Tribolium castaneum: one gene and its partners. The protein of the gene in region 1 binds, or shares a complex with, the protein of each later gene. Links are inferred from orthologs where the notes say so. Each region holds a gene or a part of one and is shown in the gene's direction. Other genes may lie near its edges.

What was found. Proteins that work in one complex are often made in the same cells at the same time.
Region 2: eIF3d1 (region 1) and eIF3m share a complex: the UniProt entries of both Drosophila melanogaster proteins name them as parts of the eukaryotic translation initiation factor 3 (eIF-3) complex. The link is inferred for Tribolium castaneum from reciprocal best matches to the Drosophila melanogaster genes eIF3d1 and eIF3m.
Region 3: eIF3d1 (region 1) and eIF3h share a complex: the UniProt entries of both Drosophila melanogaster proteins name them as parts of the eukaryotic translation initiation factor 3 (eIF-3) complex. The link is inferred for Tribolium castaneum from reciprocal best matches to the Drosophila melanogaster genes eIF3d1 and eIF3h.

The regions. Positions count from the first base shown.
Region 1 is NC_087399.1:4,807,162-4,812,838, forward strand, and holds eIF3d1 (eukaryotic initiation factor 3 p66 subunit), read left to right. Parts: upstream 1-2,108; 5' UTR 2,109-2,175; coding exon 2,176-2,377; intron 2,378-2,439; coding exon 2,440-2,702; intron 2,703-2,748; coding exon 2,749-2,860; intron 2,861-2,905; coding exon 2,906-3,015; intron 3,016-3,069; coding exon 3,070-3,208; intron 3,209-3,255; coding exon 3,256-3,548; intron 3,549-3,591; coding exon 3,592-4,161; 3' UTR 4,162-4,218; downstream 4,219-5,677. Other genes in the region: Sans (ankyrin repeat and SAM domain-containing protein 4B), read left to right, coding at 1-206, 257-532, 579-874, 924-1,302. UniProt on the Drosophila melanogaster protein: mRNA cap-binding component of the eukaryotic translation initiation factor 3 (eIF-3) complex, which is involved in protein synthesis of a specialized repertoire of mRNAs and, together with other initiation factors, stimulates binding of mRNA and methionyl-tRNAi to the 40S ribosome.
Region 2 is NC_087400.1:752,713-757,518, reverse strand, and holds eIF3m (eukaryotic translation initiation factor 3 subunit M), read left to right. Parts: upstream 1-1,794; 5' UTR 1,795-1,924; coding exon 1,925-1,969; intron 1,970-2,026; coding exon 2,027-2,206; intron 2,207-2,251; coding exon 2,252-3,181; 3' UTR 3,182-3,224; downstream 3,225-4,806. Other genes in the region: Sec15 (exocyst complex component 6), read left to right, coding at 2-169, 223-608, 659-850, 894-1,131, 1,176-1,317, 1,365-1,551, 1,597-1,723; CysRS (cysteine--tRNA ligase, cytoplasmic), read left to right, coding at 3,557-3,922, 3,973-4,052, 4,108-4,324. UniProt on the Drosophila melanogaster protein: Component of the eukaryotic translation initiation factor 3 (eIF-3) complex, which is involved in protein synthesis of a specialized repertoire of mRNAs and, together with other initiation factors, stimulates binding of mRNA and methionyl-tRNAi to the 40S ribosome.
Region 3 is NC_087398.1:6,459,875-6,464,810, reverse strand, and holds eIF3h (eukaryotic translation initiation factor 3 subunit H), read left to right. Parts: upstream 1-2,048; 5' UTR 2,049-2,198; coding exon 2,199-2,276; intron 2,277-2,372; coding exon 2,373-3,311; 3' UTR 3,312-3,354; downstream 3,355-4,936. Other genes in the region: vkg (collagen alpha-2(IV) chain), read left to right, coding at 24-138, 189-611; SelT (thioredoxin reductase-like selenoprotein T homolog CG3887), read right to left, coding at 1,205-1,528, 1,575-1,704, 1,751-1,905; SP555 (SPRY domain-containing SOCS box protein 3), read right to left, coding at 4,127-4,879. UniProt on the Drosophila melanogaster protein: Component of the eukaryotic translation initiation factor 3 (eIF-3) complex, which is involved in protein synthesis of a specialized repertoire of mRNAs and, together with other initiation factors, stimulates binding of mRNA and methionyl-tRNAi to the 40S ribosome.

The DNA.
Region 1 (5,677 bases):
TCGTCACATTCCTAGTCAATTTCGGAGCCAACATTTACTCGACTGATATCGACGGCCGCACCGCCCAAGAACTCGCCGGAATGAACAACCGCGACGACATCCTGCGGTTCTTGGACGGCGTCCACGCCAAACTGGAGGCCGGCGACAAAAAGAAAGCCAAAGCACTCAAAGAAAAAGCAAAGAAAGAGTCAGAAAAACGCATCAAAGTAAAACACGGCCCCGTCGAGAGAAACCAATCGTTTCACTTTCTTTTCAGGAATTCAACAAACGCCAAGTCAAAAAAGAGCAAGTTCAAGAGAAGCTGGAGAAACGTATGAACAAAGGTCACCACAGGCCGTCGATGATAGAGACGCTCAAAACCAGAATTAAAAGTGGGTCCATGTCGAACTTGTCGAATCTGGGGCCGGCCCCTCCGAGGTTCAGCACCATCGTGGGCAACGGGACCGTTTCCGGGATGCGGAATTTGGGGTCGGTGCAGAAGCGGGTGCTCGCCAGCCGAACAACGCGGCCTGGCTTCGACGACGACTTCAAGGTGCTCCCGAGAGTAAATAAGCATTTATTTGAAAAACTCGTTCCAGATTAGTGAAATTGAAGACGGCAAACGCTCAGTCAGATCACTAACGGGGTATCGGCGAGACTCTGAGGTACTTTACACGGGGACCATCGATGGCAGGAGAGGCCGTCTGGAATCGGTCTTCAACGAAGCTGAGTACATAGAGTCGTCTCCGCCGCCACCACCGTCCAGCAACGGCCTCACAAGGTCCATCTCCCAGCCTGACTTCATGCACGAATTGGAAACAAACGGCGACACTAAACTCCAACAAGAACCAGCGAGTATTTTCGTGCGCCCAGGAATTGGAAGCATAGCGTTCCGGTAACAAATAATCAATATGCGAAAGCACAAAAACACGTTTTTTATTTAGAAAGAGCATAACCAACACATTCCAAGGCTTCTACTCCAGCGAAGGCCCCAACGAGGAGAGTTCAATCGGGTCAGGGGAAAGCTACGGCCCCAGAACCAACACTCTATCAATCGAAGACGAGTTATCAGACCCCGAGTCCAGCGACGACGATAACCCGAACGCTCCCCTGGAACGCTTCTTGACCGCCTGGGGGCTAGGAGAGTACCTTCCCCGCTTCGAGGAGCAGAAAATCGACCTGGAAACGCTGATGATACTGACAGAAAACGATCTCCAAAGCCTGAACTTGCCCCTAGGGCCGTACAGGAAACTTGTGACCGCTGTCAGCGAACGCAAAGCCGCGCTGGAGAATCCGGGCGAAGTCACAGACAGCATGTTGTAAATATGGAGTCAAAATGTGTTATTTATTCATTGTCGTGGACATGATAACGGTATTGCTTGTATTTTATGGGCACTTTTTGTACAGATGTGTGCCAGGCATAATATTTACAAATTCGTATTTAAATTTATTATAAATAAATGTGTGTTATGCAAATGCGAGCTTATTAAACCCACTCCTTATCAGTGTTCTCTTTGCTGAGAGAAATCTGATGTCATCGTCAATACGCAATAATAGGGGACGTAAAATATACTACGAAAAAGTGAAGTTACGTGTAGAAGAATTTGAATTCAATACAAATTTTTGCGCTGTTGCGTTCTTTGTGATGGCAATGAGTTTTTATGCAAAATAAAGTTAGTGAGACACCAAAATAGAAAAAAATAATGCCTTATTGCCATTAGAGCTTATTTTCTTGCTGTTTTTCCAAGTTAAATATTAGTTATTAACAATGCAATAAATCAATTAGGTTGTAATGGAAAAAATTTAATTTAAAATTAATTGGAAACCCAAGAGTGAAGGATTTTTAACAGGATTCCATTATTATTTAGCATCGCCAACTTACATCAAATGTCGCTGCGGATCAGGGTGACAATTTTTTTCTGAAAAAAAGTGTAGAAAAGGTAAGTGAAACAACACGTAAACAAAAATTAGAGAATTAAATTGAAAAAAAAGTGGATGAAAATGTTTTCTCAAGCGCAGCGACATTTGATGTAAGTTGGCCATGTTATTTTGATTTCAAAAGCGCCGAATTTCAAAAACTGTCGATTGTCAGAATCTGCGCGCGCACATTTCTTTTTGCCAAGTGTTGTGCACAACTCGCGGTTTCTGCTTCAACATATTGAATTGAACACTTCCTAACTTCTGAAAGCAAGTCAAATGACTATGACTGATGGTCAATCAGCGGGTGAGGTCCCCAAATTCGTGGCCCCCGTAATCCAGGACAACCCGACTGGATGGGGGCCCTGCGAGCTGCCCGACCAGTTCAAAGATATGCCGTACCAGCCCTTCAGCAAAGGCGACCGTCTCGGCAAAATCAGCGACTGGACGGGGGCCGCCTTCCAAGACAAGAAATATGCCAGTTAGTCTGACATTGACACATGTCAAATTTGAGGTTAAGTGACTTATTTTTCGCAATTTTAGACAAGTATGCGTCCCAGTTCGGTTCTGGCAGTCAATACGCGTATTATCATGACGAAGACGAGAGCACTTTTCATTTGGTGGACACAACACGCGTCCAGAAGCCCCCCTATCAACGGGGGCGCTTCCGCGCGAACCAGCGCAACTTGCGCGGGCGTGGCGGCCGTGCTGGGGTGCAAGGCAGCGGCATGCAGTCCCTCGGGAAGGGGGTTAAAGCCAGGGACACGTATAAGAGGAGCCAGGTTAAGAAATGGGGACAAGGACGGGTAAGATCTCGCTTGAGTTTTACCGCAATATAGTTGGCGGTTTTAGCCCCAGATTAAGATCAGGGACGCTTCGGTTACGGTCAAACCGGATTGGGTCACCATTGAGGAAATGGATTTCCCTCGGTTGGGAAAATTGTCGCTCCCTAACGTCAAAGACGGTTGGTTTAATTAAGCAATGCGAATTTTTCTATTTTGGTTTTTAGGCGAGGATATTACTTGTTGTGGCGAGTTGGAGTACTATGACAAGTCGTACGATCGTGTCAACGTGAAGAATGAGAAGCCGCTGCAAAGCGTCAATCGTATCTTCCATACAGTGGGTTATTTTTAATATCATTGATGGCAAAAAATTAAAATTAATTATCCTCAGGTTACAACAACTGATGATCCGATTATCCGTAAGTTGAGTAAAACGGAGGGCAATGTGTACGCCACTGATGCGATCCTTGCGACCATCATGTGCTGCACTCGCTCGAATTATTCCTGGGACATCGTGATTGAAAAAATTGGTACTGTGCCCTTACAAGTGTAACAAATCTCAAACAAAATTTTTCAGGCGATAAACTCTTCTTTGATAAGCGTGACAATACGGAGTTTGATCTTTTAACCGTCAACGAAACGTCCGTGGAGCCCCCACAAGACGACGGCAACTCCTTAAACTCCCCTCGAAACCTGGCCTTGGAAGCCACTTTCATTAACCACAATTTCAGTCAACAGGTATTAAGAACAGGTACCGGGGAGCCCCGCTTCAAGTTCGACAACCCAAACCCTTTTATCTCCGAGGAGGAGGAAGGGGAGGTCGCCAGTGTGGCCTACAGATACCGCAAATATGACCTAGGGAGCGGAATAGTAATTTTTTCGTTTTGTTTCTGTCCACGTTTAATTTGTGTAGTTTTTGGTTGTCCGTTGCGAACACGATGCCGTGGTCCAGTCCCCGAATGGCGAGCTCCAATTCCTGTCAATCAAGGCCTTGAACGAATGGGATTCCAAATTGGCCAATGGGGTGGAGTGGCGCCAGAAACTGGACACCCAGAGAGGCGCCGTTTTGGCCAATGAGCTGCGTAATAACGCCTGCAAGCTGGCCAAATGGACCGTTCAGGCGTTGCTGGCTGGCAGCGACCAAATTAAATTCGGTTATGTTTCCCGGGCCCATGTCAGGGATAACAGCAAGCATGTTATTCTGGGTACACAGCAGTATAAGCCGCACGAGTTTGCCACTCAGATTAATCTGAATATGGATAATGCGTGGGGGATTCTGCGGTGTATTATTGACATTGTTATGAAACAGAAGGATGGGAAGTATTTGATTATGAAAGATCCGAATAAGCCGATGATCCGGTTGTACGATATTCCGGATAATACGTTCGAATCGGACGGGGAGTCGGAGTCGGAGGATGAGGTGCCCCCTGATTCCGTGACTTTCCAGACCCTTTATCCATACACCAACAGTGCGAAACGCTAGATTTTGTATTTTTATCATGTATTAGCGAAAGGCCGAAATAAAATGATCAATAAATAATAATTTGCAGTTAATTCTCGTGCATAGTATTAACCAACAAGTGAAAAAAAAATAAAACGGACTCTTGTCGTGTAGCAGCAGCAAGGTGCATTTGCTCACGCATTTTTTAATTTTTTTCAACAAAGAAAGTAAAGCTGTCGTATTCACAACAAAAGAAAAATAAAGGTAAGTGCATTATTCTATTTTGTTGCGGATTTACTTTATTAGGTTTAGAATTTACTTATTCAAGATTATCAGCACATTTTTATGACGTAAGATGTCATATTATCGTATGATTCATTCTTTTTTTGTTAATACGTTCCAACATTCAATAACTAAATCAAATTAACAGTTTTATTTTTACTCGAACCCACACAATTTGAGATGTTGAAAAGTTATAATCGTTTGAGTGCAACATTTTACAACAGATTAACTACTTTATAAAATTTTCAAACTAATTTGATGACATTTGAGTTTATGATGTCGTAAAGTGTATTTTTTCAATTGCTCATCTCCAAGTGGGATTGAATATGTGATACAATTAACATATTGTAAGTGAAATGTGGAATGGTAGGTATAATAATGACATAATATTAACTTGGTTTTTATTTATTTGCAATACCTTATTGCTACATATTGTAGCGGAAGTAGATGCCATGAAGATAAGTGCACTTTAATAATTTTTTTCATTTTACAAAACATCAGCTTTTTAAACTATTTTTCCCTCGAAACTAATTTGTTATTCTTCCACGAATGAAATAATGGAGGGGGGAAAGGTTTGTTACTTTATTTTTTTTTTTTTTGAATGAACTATATAATTTATTGCCGCACTTATACAATATGTTTGTTATTGTCTTTTCCAATATCTTAAATGTTTTAGTTTTGTTTTTATCAACAACAGGAGCCCTATACCCACAGTAGTTTTCGAAATATTTCACTTATGAATTCACATTGTGGAGTTAAGCGAAATATCTTTCTAATTTTTTCAAACACATTAAGCTGTATTTTGTGAAGTAGCGTTTCCATAAAGACGCATTTGTACCCAAATGAAAAAAATAAAAGTGGTCCAAACCACTCATAAAAAACATAATTAACTGAATAAAATTGAAACTTACCAAAAAGAATTAATCCAAAAAAAAAAAAATTTGTGGTCTAGTTATACTTGTGAAAACGTTTGGCCGCTTGCTTGTTCCAGAAGGGCTTCCTGTCCCTTTGGGGCAAAGTGTTCCTCAAGTCAAACATGTTTTGCACATTTTTGCCAATTTGATTATTCCATTTTTTCTTATTACTTCCCGACGGTTCATTTCTACCAAACCCAGTTTGGTTAAATTTACGTTTATTTCTAGAAAACTCATTAAACCGGACGGGATTTCCCTCCGACAATATTTGCATAACTTCGTCCAAATGTTCCTTCACGTGTGATGACTGCGAAATTTGCATAATATCAGCCGAATCACTCGGCATTTGCAAAACCAAGGTC
Region 2 (4,806 bases), on another chromosome or scaffold:
GCACGAGTGTGAAGAGAGCTACCGTGCCTACATTCACGCCGTCCTCGGTTTCTTTATTTTGGAGGATCACGTGTTAAACACCGGGAACGGGCTCATAACCCGCGCCTTCTTGGACGAAATGTGGACGATGGCGTTGTCAAAAATCGTCAGTGCTTTGCAAACACATTCGGTATAATTACCCGAAAAATTTGTTTACTCAATCGGTTATGAAAAAAATTTCAGGCGTATTGTACCGACGCCACCTTGATCCTGCGCATTAAAGACTTGATCATGCTTTTTTGCACGACTTTGCGTAATTATGGTTATTCGGTGAAACCGTTGTGGGAGTTGGTGCGTGAATTACGTGACCATTATACCGAAGTTTTGATGCAGAGATGGGTGCAAGTCTTTCGGGAAATTCTCTCGAAGGAGGATTTTCAGCCGATTCAAGTGTACGATCTCGAGGAGTATGAGCATATTTTGTCGTCGTTTCCATGGGACGAGGACTTGCCCAACGATGTGGTTTTCCCGCACAAGTTCCCCTTTTCGGGGATGGTGCCCAAGGTCTACCAACAAGTCAAGGAGTTTATTTACGCGTGTTTGAAATTCTCCGAGGATTTGAATTTAAGGTTTGGTTGTTGAATAATTCCAATCGAAGTGGGCTGTGACTGAATTGTAGTCAAGTGGAAGTCGACGAAATGATCCGCAAGTCGATGAATTTGCTCCTGACGCGGACGTTTAGCGGTTGTTTGTCGTCAACGTTTCGTAGCCCGCACATCAATCTTCAGGAAATTATCCAAATAATCATCGATACGGGCTATTTGGAGGAAGCCACGGTCTACTTGGACCAGTTTATTTCAAATATTACAGGGTAGGGCACAAAATTAATCCGCCAATAAAAACAAAACATTTAGGGAGGAGTCTCGAGGGGTGTCCACGGGAGTGGTCCAAGGCCAACCAGCCATGTTCCGCGTGGCTCGTGAAGACGCCGTGCGCCAAATTTGCGAAAAATTGCGCCAAAAATTGAACGAGTTTTACGAATTGGAGAGTTATGATTGGCTGTTGGGTGAGCCGTCAGGACACGCCTCTAGTTACATCTCCGATTTGATTGCTTTCCTCCAGACGACGTTTCAGAGTTTCACCAATTTACCGGTTTGTTGATTGGTTTTGTTGATTTTTTATCGAGTGATTTGTAGCCGGAGGTGGCGCAAGTTGCGTGTAAGTCGGCGTGTGAACACATTGCCAATTCGATGTTTCAACTGTTGATGAATGACGAGATCAAGCAAATTTCCATGGGGGCCTTAAACCAAATCAATTTAGATTTACTACAGTGTGAACGTAATTAATCGAAAAATGATAACCGGAAATTTAAACAAGTTTTACAGAATTTGCGGCCTCTGAGCCCGTCAAAGGCCTACAAGAGGACGTCCTCTTGTCGTATTTTACCAAACTACGGGAGACTTTAGACCTGTTCACGTCATGGGACTGGCCCACTTATTTCCACGACTATGGGCAAGAAACCAGCAAATATAAGCAAGTCAATCCAGATGATGCGATAGTATTGCTCGAAAAGTAACAAATCGGGTTATTAAACCACAAGTTAATTGATTCTTGTAGATTGAAAGAAGGCGATAAGAAAACTATGTTCACAGTATTGAAAAAGAACGAAAGAGACAAGAAGAAGTTACTGGAAACGGTCCTAAAACAACTGAGACAGCTGACCCAAATAACGCCCAACAAATAACCGACTTGTTGAATTAAATAATAAATTTTATTAATTATTCGGTGTTTTAATTTTTGTGGCCAACTTGGCCACCAAATTTAAAAAAGTAACAACTTGGCGTTTGCGCATGCGCATTGCCAACATAACCATCAAATTTGCGGTGTGGTTTTTCCCCTTAAAACAGTTAAAAATTGCAAAAAACCGTGAACTAACTGTAGAAAAATGCAAGTGCCCCCTGTCTTTATCGACGTGAGTCCCGAGGACCAGGTAGGCGCCCATTTGTGGCATTTTGTGTCCATATGACACTTTGAGGTTATGTTTTAGGCGCAAGAGCTCCGCATTTACTTAAAAAGTTTAGGCGCTGAAATTTCGGAGGAAAAATCAGTCAAGGGCATCGAAGACGACCTACACAAAATAATCGGCGTATGCGAGGCCTGTTTCAAGGAGGGCCAGGAGCCCGAAGTTGAGATGGTGCTCAACGACATTGTCTCAATCATGGTGCTTGTAAGTGTCTCGAATCATTTGCGCGTGGTATTGGACGTGTTTTAGATCCCGGCCGACCGGTCCGAGAACATCATCCTGGCCTTTTGCCAGAAGCTGCTCAAGGCTCAGGGCCCCAAACTGGGGCTGGTGTGCCTGCGCGCCTTGTGGCTGCTGTTCCAGTCGCTTGACGAGACGTCCCCCATGCGCTACCACGTCTACTACCACTTGATTTTAATTGCGGAGAAAACGGACCAGGTCAAGTCGGTGTTCCAGGATATCGAGCATTTGAAGCAACAGTTCGCCCCGTGTCCACCGACAAGCGAGCAGTTGCAGATTCTGTACCGGTTGTTGCACCAGGTGCTGCTAAAGAGCAACCACAGTGAGCAGGCTGCCAAGGTCATGATCGAACTTTTGGGGACCTACACCGATAAGAACGCCTCGCATGCCCGCGAGGACGCGATCAAGTGCATCGTCTCGGCCCTGGGGGACCCCAACACCTTCCTCCTCGACCCCTTACTGGCCCTAAAGCCGGTCAAATTTCTCGAAGGGGAGCTAATCCACGACTTGCTTAATATCTTTGTCAGCGAAAATTTGGCAACGTATTTGAAATTCTACCAAGAACACAAGGAGTTTGTCACGTCGCAGGGGTTGAACCACGAGAAGAACATGCAAAAGATGCGGTTGTTGTCCTTCATGCAACTCGCTGAGACCAACCCGGAGATCAGTTTTGACGTGATTGAGAGAGAGTTGCAGATCAAGGCTGAGGAGGTCGAGGCGTTTATTATCGAAGTCTTGAAGACTAAACTGGTGAGGGCCCGCATGGACCAAGCCGCTCGGAAAGTCTACGTCTCAAGCACCATGCATAGGACTTTTGGGCGCGCCCAGTGGCAACAATTGAGGGATTTGCTCCACTCGTGGAAAAGCAACCTCAGCATGGTCCAGGAAGGGATGAAGAACGTCACAGCGGCACAGCTCGAAATGTTGAACCAACAATAATTGTTTTGTAGCGATTAATTTAAGAATAAAAATTTTGGAACTAGTTGGGGATTTTTATTTTAATACCACGTCAAGTAACTAACTAAATTTGCTGCTTAAACTACGAAAATTACATTATTGCGCCCCATAATTTAATGTGGGGGTTTCACCCGCCACGTGTCGCACGTTCCTTGCCCCCAATCGGGGTCAAGAGCCGCCGGTGCCGTTTCATGTTGGCAGCACTGTGTGGTGTTGTGGCCGCTGATTCCGATTTTGTGGGAATTCCGTGCCTTCTTCTGATGCAATCACAGTTTAATTTCCGCTAGATAACACCGAAGAGTGCGTTTTGGTGTTGGTGTGTTAAATAATTGCAAATTTGGTGGTTGGAGTTAGGTTATGTCGAAACGTGTGCAGCCCCCGTGGTCGGCGCCGGAGGCGTCTGGCGGTCCGGTCCTGAAAGTGTTCAATAGTCTGACGCGTCAGAAGGAGGTGTTTAGGCCGATTTCGGGCAAAAAAGTGACTTGGTACAGTTGCGGGCCGACTGTTTACGACGCCTCGCACATGGGGCACGCCAGATCGTACATAACTTTTGATATTTTGAGGCGCGTCCTTGCCGATTATTTCGGTTATGATATTTTTTTCGTGATGAATATTACGGATATTGACGATAAAATCATAAAAAGGGCGCGTCAGAACTACTTGTTTGAGAGGTATGTTGGGGAGGAGAGGTCGTTACAGGAGGTTTTAAGTGACGCAAAGTTGGTATGGTTGTTTGTATTTTGTGGTGGTCACATTGTAACGGGGGTTTACAGGTTTTGGAGAAATTGGCTGAGACCACACAAAATGCCTTTGATCCCGATAAGAAACAAATGTATGAGAAACTTCTAGTCAAGTAAGCTATTTTGGCATTTTTTGTATATAGATGATTAAATTAATTTTTCAACTAGTCTCACTAAATCGGTTGAAGAATTGGAAAATGCGGTCAAAAGTGGTGATAATACGAAAATTGAAAACGCAAAGAAAAATTACATAGTGCGGAGTAAAGACCCACTGTCTGATTGGCTGGATTGTAAATTTGGGGCCACAATTACAGACAATGCGATTTTTACGTCATTACCACAGCACTGGGAACAAGAATTTCACAAAGACATGGAGGCTCTAAATGTACGTATTTTCGCAGCAAAAGTTGTACAAGTGCTACTTTTTGTCCGAATACAGGACAAGGTTTAGAGAAGAACGAGTGAGAAAATAATTTTGGTCAAAACCGCATCTCGCTATCGTCTTTTGTTTTCGACTTAAACAAAAGTTGACGTTTTAGCGAAATCTTAAAAATATCATATTTTCTTTATTATTAAACATTTACATTTGAAACAAAGACTTTATAAAGGCATTTTTTACAGAGAATCTAATGTTATTAGCGATTTTTTTCAAAAATTCGTTTAATTGTAATAACATGAAGTTATATTTTTTTAAATAGGAATCATAGTTGGCTGTGACAATTTCGAAAAGATTATTTTTTTCTGATTTGATATGTCTATTTGTGTAATACATAATTTAAAATATTTAAGAAAAAACAAAACATTTCGCTTTTTCTTTATATAGTAGGCCATGAAAAAATTTTGGATTTTTAATTAAAACTATGAAAA
Region 3 (4,936 bases), on another chromosome or scaffold:
ATTTTTAACCGTTTTGCTTTCAGATGCTCCGTTTGCGAATCTGTCACACGTGTCATCGCCGTCCACAGTCAATCGACAACCATCCCACAGTGTCCCAACGGCTGGGACGAACTCTGGGCCGGATACAGCTTCCTTATGGTAACTCTCTTCACCCCCTCGAACCCACATTTGTTTAACATATATTGCAGCACGTGGACGCCGGTGCCGAAGGCTCAGGCCAATCCCTCGTCTCCCCCGGCTCATGCCTCGAAGAGTTCCGCCCCAAACCCTTCATCGAATGCCACGGTCACGGCCGCTGCAACTACTACACCACCATCCTGTCCTACTGGCTGGCCACCATAGAGGATTCAGCCATGTTCCAAAAACCGCGTTCGGAGACTCTCAAAGCCGGCTATTTGACCTCAAGAGTCAGCAGATGCGCCGTTTGCATCCGCAGACGGTACACCAGTCGCACTGCAATTGTCACCCCTAGTCGAATCACAAGACCCACATACGGGACCCCGTATCGGCCCCCAGGCTATCCACCAGGAAGTTACAGGAACTTGGAAGAGAATAGGAGGAGGCGTTTGAGGCAGAGATTGAGACACAGGAGACCGCAAAATACGCCGTGATCGACGTGCCATAACAGTTATTAACTTTGTAATTATGTGTAAATTAATTGTAACATAGATTTGATGTTAACATTTGTCCTTGAGAAGGAACGTACGCCGTGTTCAAACACAAATCCTATTAGAATATTTTTTACTTGTAAGGATTTAGGTTCTTAATTTTATTTAAGCGATTACGACAGTGGCTCTTTGTATAGAATTTATTTTTTTAATACTTGAATTCTTGCTTGTTTTTGATCTTTTTTATCTCAAAGGTGCTAATTAGTTTTAAGGCTTACGACAGGAAAATGTGATTCATATTTTATGTGCCTTTCTATTAAACACTGCCAAATGATTTTGTAATGTAACAAATGAATAAATCATAAAAACGATGAGTTTTTGGGTTTTATTAGGTATCAAATAAGAAGACAATTTCTTTATGTACAACTTTTACTTATCACAAATCTAGTTATTTATAAATCATACATTCAAACATACTGAACGCTGTGTGATAGTGACCAGACAAAAAATTATAGAATGACACTACCAGACTCACAACAAATTTAAAAAAGAACAATCTGATAACAAAACAATCATTTTCGAAATTTATAGTAACTTTACTTCGGGAATCCGTTGCTCAGTTCAATTTTGCTGTCAGTGAACTGCATATGATTATCGATGATTTGGAAAAGCTCTGCAGGTTGTGGTATCCTGCCCGTCTCCAGTTTGGACCAAACAGGAACGTCATTCAGTGAGATTTCAAAAGCCCCCGATTGAATCAACTGTCCTTCGATAATATTACACACAAAGAACAGCATCATGCAAGCATAAAGCTTGTTTTCTGTGCACCAAATCCACCATGAAGGCTGTGGTTGGTTAATGTATTCAAATATGTTAATAGCCCCCAAAATACACACGATTATCACCATTTTAACGATGCCCTGAAAACGCATAATCATCAACTTTCACTCATTATATCATACTTACAATAAGTCTGGCCAAATACATGTTCAAGCCTGGGGGGTCGTAATTTTGGCCATCAACGGCTATAAAAGGGTATTTGTCCCCAACGATTTTTACGTACTGCTCGAACGTTTTCCGGTAACCACACGAATAACTAAATTAAATAATTAGATTATGATATTGGGGCTAGGGGAACATACCAATACAAAAATTTTAAGGTTGGGGCCCCAACATTTTGACTTAGCTTCGACGGGAGGACGTCTTCAGCTGCTACGTTACCGTTTGATTCGAGAAAACACAGCCCCGCAAACACCACTAAATACCAAAAACATGATATTTGTCTTAAACCAGCCATTTATTTTGCTTTCTAATGCTCTCGTCAGCTGATAAATTTCCAATGACAGGTGGGACTGGTGGAAACGTAGGGGAATTTAGACACCGACTAGATCAGCCTAAAACACTAATATAATAATTATTTCACGTCCAAAAAACACGAGATTGTGTTAGCTGCTACAAAATTTGGTAACAAACAACGTAATCGTTAAATAAGGCCATTATCGGCTGGCAATTTTTACGAAAATTGTGTTTTTGTAGCAATTGTGGAGTTTTTGTTTGCGCTACATTGGCAGGTATTTTTGGCAGTTTAAAATGGCGTCTCGTGGGGCTGCTTCGAGGCGTGTGCCTGAAAATGACTCGACGATTGCTTACGTGCAAGCCGACGGCTTGGTAAATATCCCTTCAGTTTATTTAAACCCAAAAGTCACACTTTGGCTACCTCAGTTAGTAATTAATACCTAACATACGGAACCTAACCTCTTTCAGGCCGTCATGAAGATCGTAAAACACTGCCATGAGGAATCGACCACTAACATGGACATAGCCCAGGGGGCCCTTCTCGGCCTTGTCGTTGAAAACCGGCTGGAAATCACGAATTGTTTCCCATTCCCGAAACAAACCGACGAGACAATGGACGAGGACGAGTACCAGCTAGCGATGATGCGGCGCCTGCGACGCGTCAACGTCGACCACTTCCATGTGGGGTGGTACCAAAGCGCCGACGTCGGGAACTTCCTCAGCCTCCCTCTTCTCGAATCGCAATTCCACTACCAAACCTCAATCGAGGAATCCGTCGTTGTGATTTACGACACTCAAAAATCCTCGCGCGGGTTCCTCACACTTAAAGCCTACCGTTTGACGCCTCAAGCCATTGAGATGTACAAGGAGGGCGAATTCACGCCCGAGGCCCTCTTGAAGCTCAAAGTCGGATACGAGAACCTCTTCATCGAGGTCCCCTTCGTTATTAAAAACTCCGCCTTGACCAACATCATGATGTCCGAATTGCAAGAACTTGTCCCGGAAGAAGAAGGCTCGAAATTTTTAGATTTGGGAACCGCCTCCGTCCTCGAGGGGCAATTGCGCTGCCTCATGGACCGAGTTGACGAACTCAACCAAGAAGCGATCAAGTTTAATAGATACCAACAGTTGGTCAGCCGGCAACAGCAAGACAAACACAGATATTTGCAAAAGAGGGCGCAGGAAAATGCGGCTAGGGCCGCGAAAGACGAGCCCCCATTGCCCGAAGAGGACATTAATAAGCTGTTTAGGCCACATCCGGTGCCCCCGAGGCTGAACCCGATGATTATCGCGGGACAGATTAATACGTATAGTCAGGCCATTTCCCAGTTGTGCTCGCAGAGTTTGGCTAAGTTGTATATTACGCAAGCGTTGCAGAACGCCAAGGAGGCGAATTCTAATCCTTGAACTGTTTTGTTACGTTGTTTTACAATAAAATAATATACAATGAGTTTGGGTTTTATTTAAACCAGGCGTAATAAAGCTTAATTGGCGCAGTCAGTAGGTTTTGTGGTGGCGTCTCTTCTGTGAAATTTCTACGTTTGAACGTTTAATCATCCCCTTAAAAAATGGTACTAAACCAACAGTGGAGAAAGTCATATTCGCAACCTTTTCATCGTTTATGTTGATTTTGTTGTTTTTTGATTGAAATAAAGGACACAGCTTTTAAAAAATAATGTATTCAATTGCCCTAAACATCAATTTAGTCATTACAGTCTTACGAACCTAAAGAAATGAATTTTATTTATTTACATTTCTATTGCACAAACTGGCCAAAATGTACACACTTTTTTGTGCAACTTTCTCAAACTCATACAAACCAATAACAAACAACACACGAAAAACAACAACAAAACAAGACTAGATAATCAATCACAATAAATCGTTTCGTATTACGCTATTAGCAGTTCAATCAATAAGAAAAATCGTGTCATGAGTATAAAAATGTTGATTAATTCATTTGAAAAAATTCCCCATTTTACATTGATAAAATAGCTTAACACTACGACTAGACTCTAGGTAACATTCACCACTGGCGTCGTCCCATTTATCGTATTTACAGAATTTTAAAATGGCACATGGACAAATCCACGGTTTTACATTTCTATACACACGTACCGAGAAAACCTTTTGGTACAAATACATATACAGTGTGGACCAACAATAAAAGTATTTAGTTTGCCTTTTATTTATCCACGTGATTCACTTGTCGAATCAAACGCCTACATATTCCCGACATTAATCGAAATCGTGTTGTGATTGACGGGTTTGAACGGCTCAACACTGTCAACAATCGCCTCAGCCAAATAACTCCTAATTTTAGTCGGAACGAACAATTTTTCCAAATCCTGCTTACTCCTAATCCTCTTGACGATCACCGCCCTGCACCTGTCCTGCAAATTGACGAAGTCCCTCTTCATCGAATCCAGATACATCTCAGTCTTGGCGGCCGTGGAGCAAATAATGGGGTAAAGGGGCTCCTTGACCTCGTTGAGCCCCCGGAAGGCCACCCCCAGGTACTTCTCGTCCTTGTAGTAGCTCAGCGTGCCGGCGATGCCGTCGAAGAGCACGCCGATCTTGGTGGCCATGTTCTCCCGGAAGGGCTTGGTGTAGTGCGTCCAGCGGCCGCCGTGCCACAGCAGCCCCTTGTGCGACAGCCCCCAGCCGTGGTCGTCTTCGCCGAGCAGGTTGGTGAAGGAGTCGGCGTGCAGGCGCGCCTTCTTGGTGCCGATGCCGAACATCATGCTGGTGCCGAAGATGCGCCGCGAGATGTGCAGCTCCCAGAAGTAGCGGCCGTTGTTCAGCACCCGGGTGCCCCGCACGCCGGCCGTGCCGCTGCTCCAGTTGGGGTGGAAGTGCGCGATGCGGAAGTTGTTGCCGTAGAGCCGGACCTCGGGGCTGCGCTCCCACCGGTTCCACGTCCACAGGTCGTCGCAGCCGTGCCGCAGGGGCTGGGGGACCGGTTCCGACTCCATGGAGTCGGAACGCTTCGATTGCTATGCGGAGGACTCCTCCCACGCGGGGGGCACGTC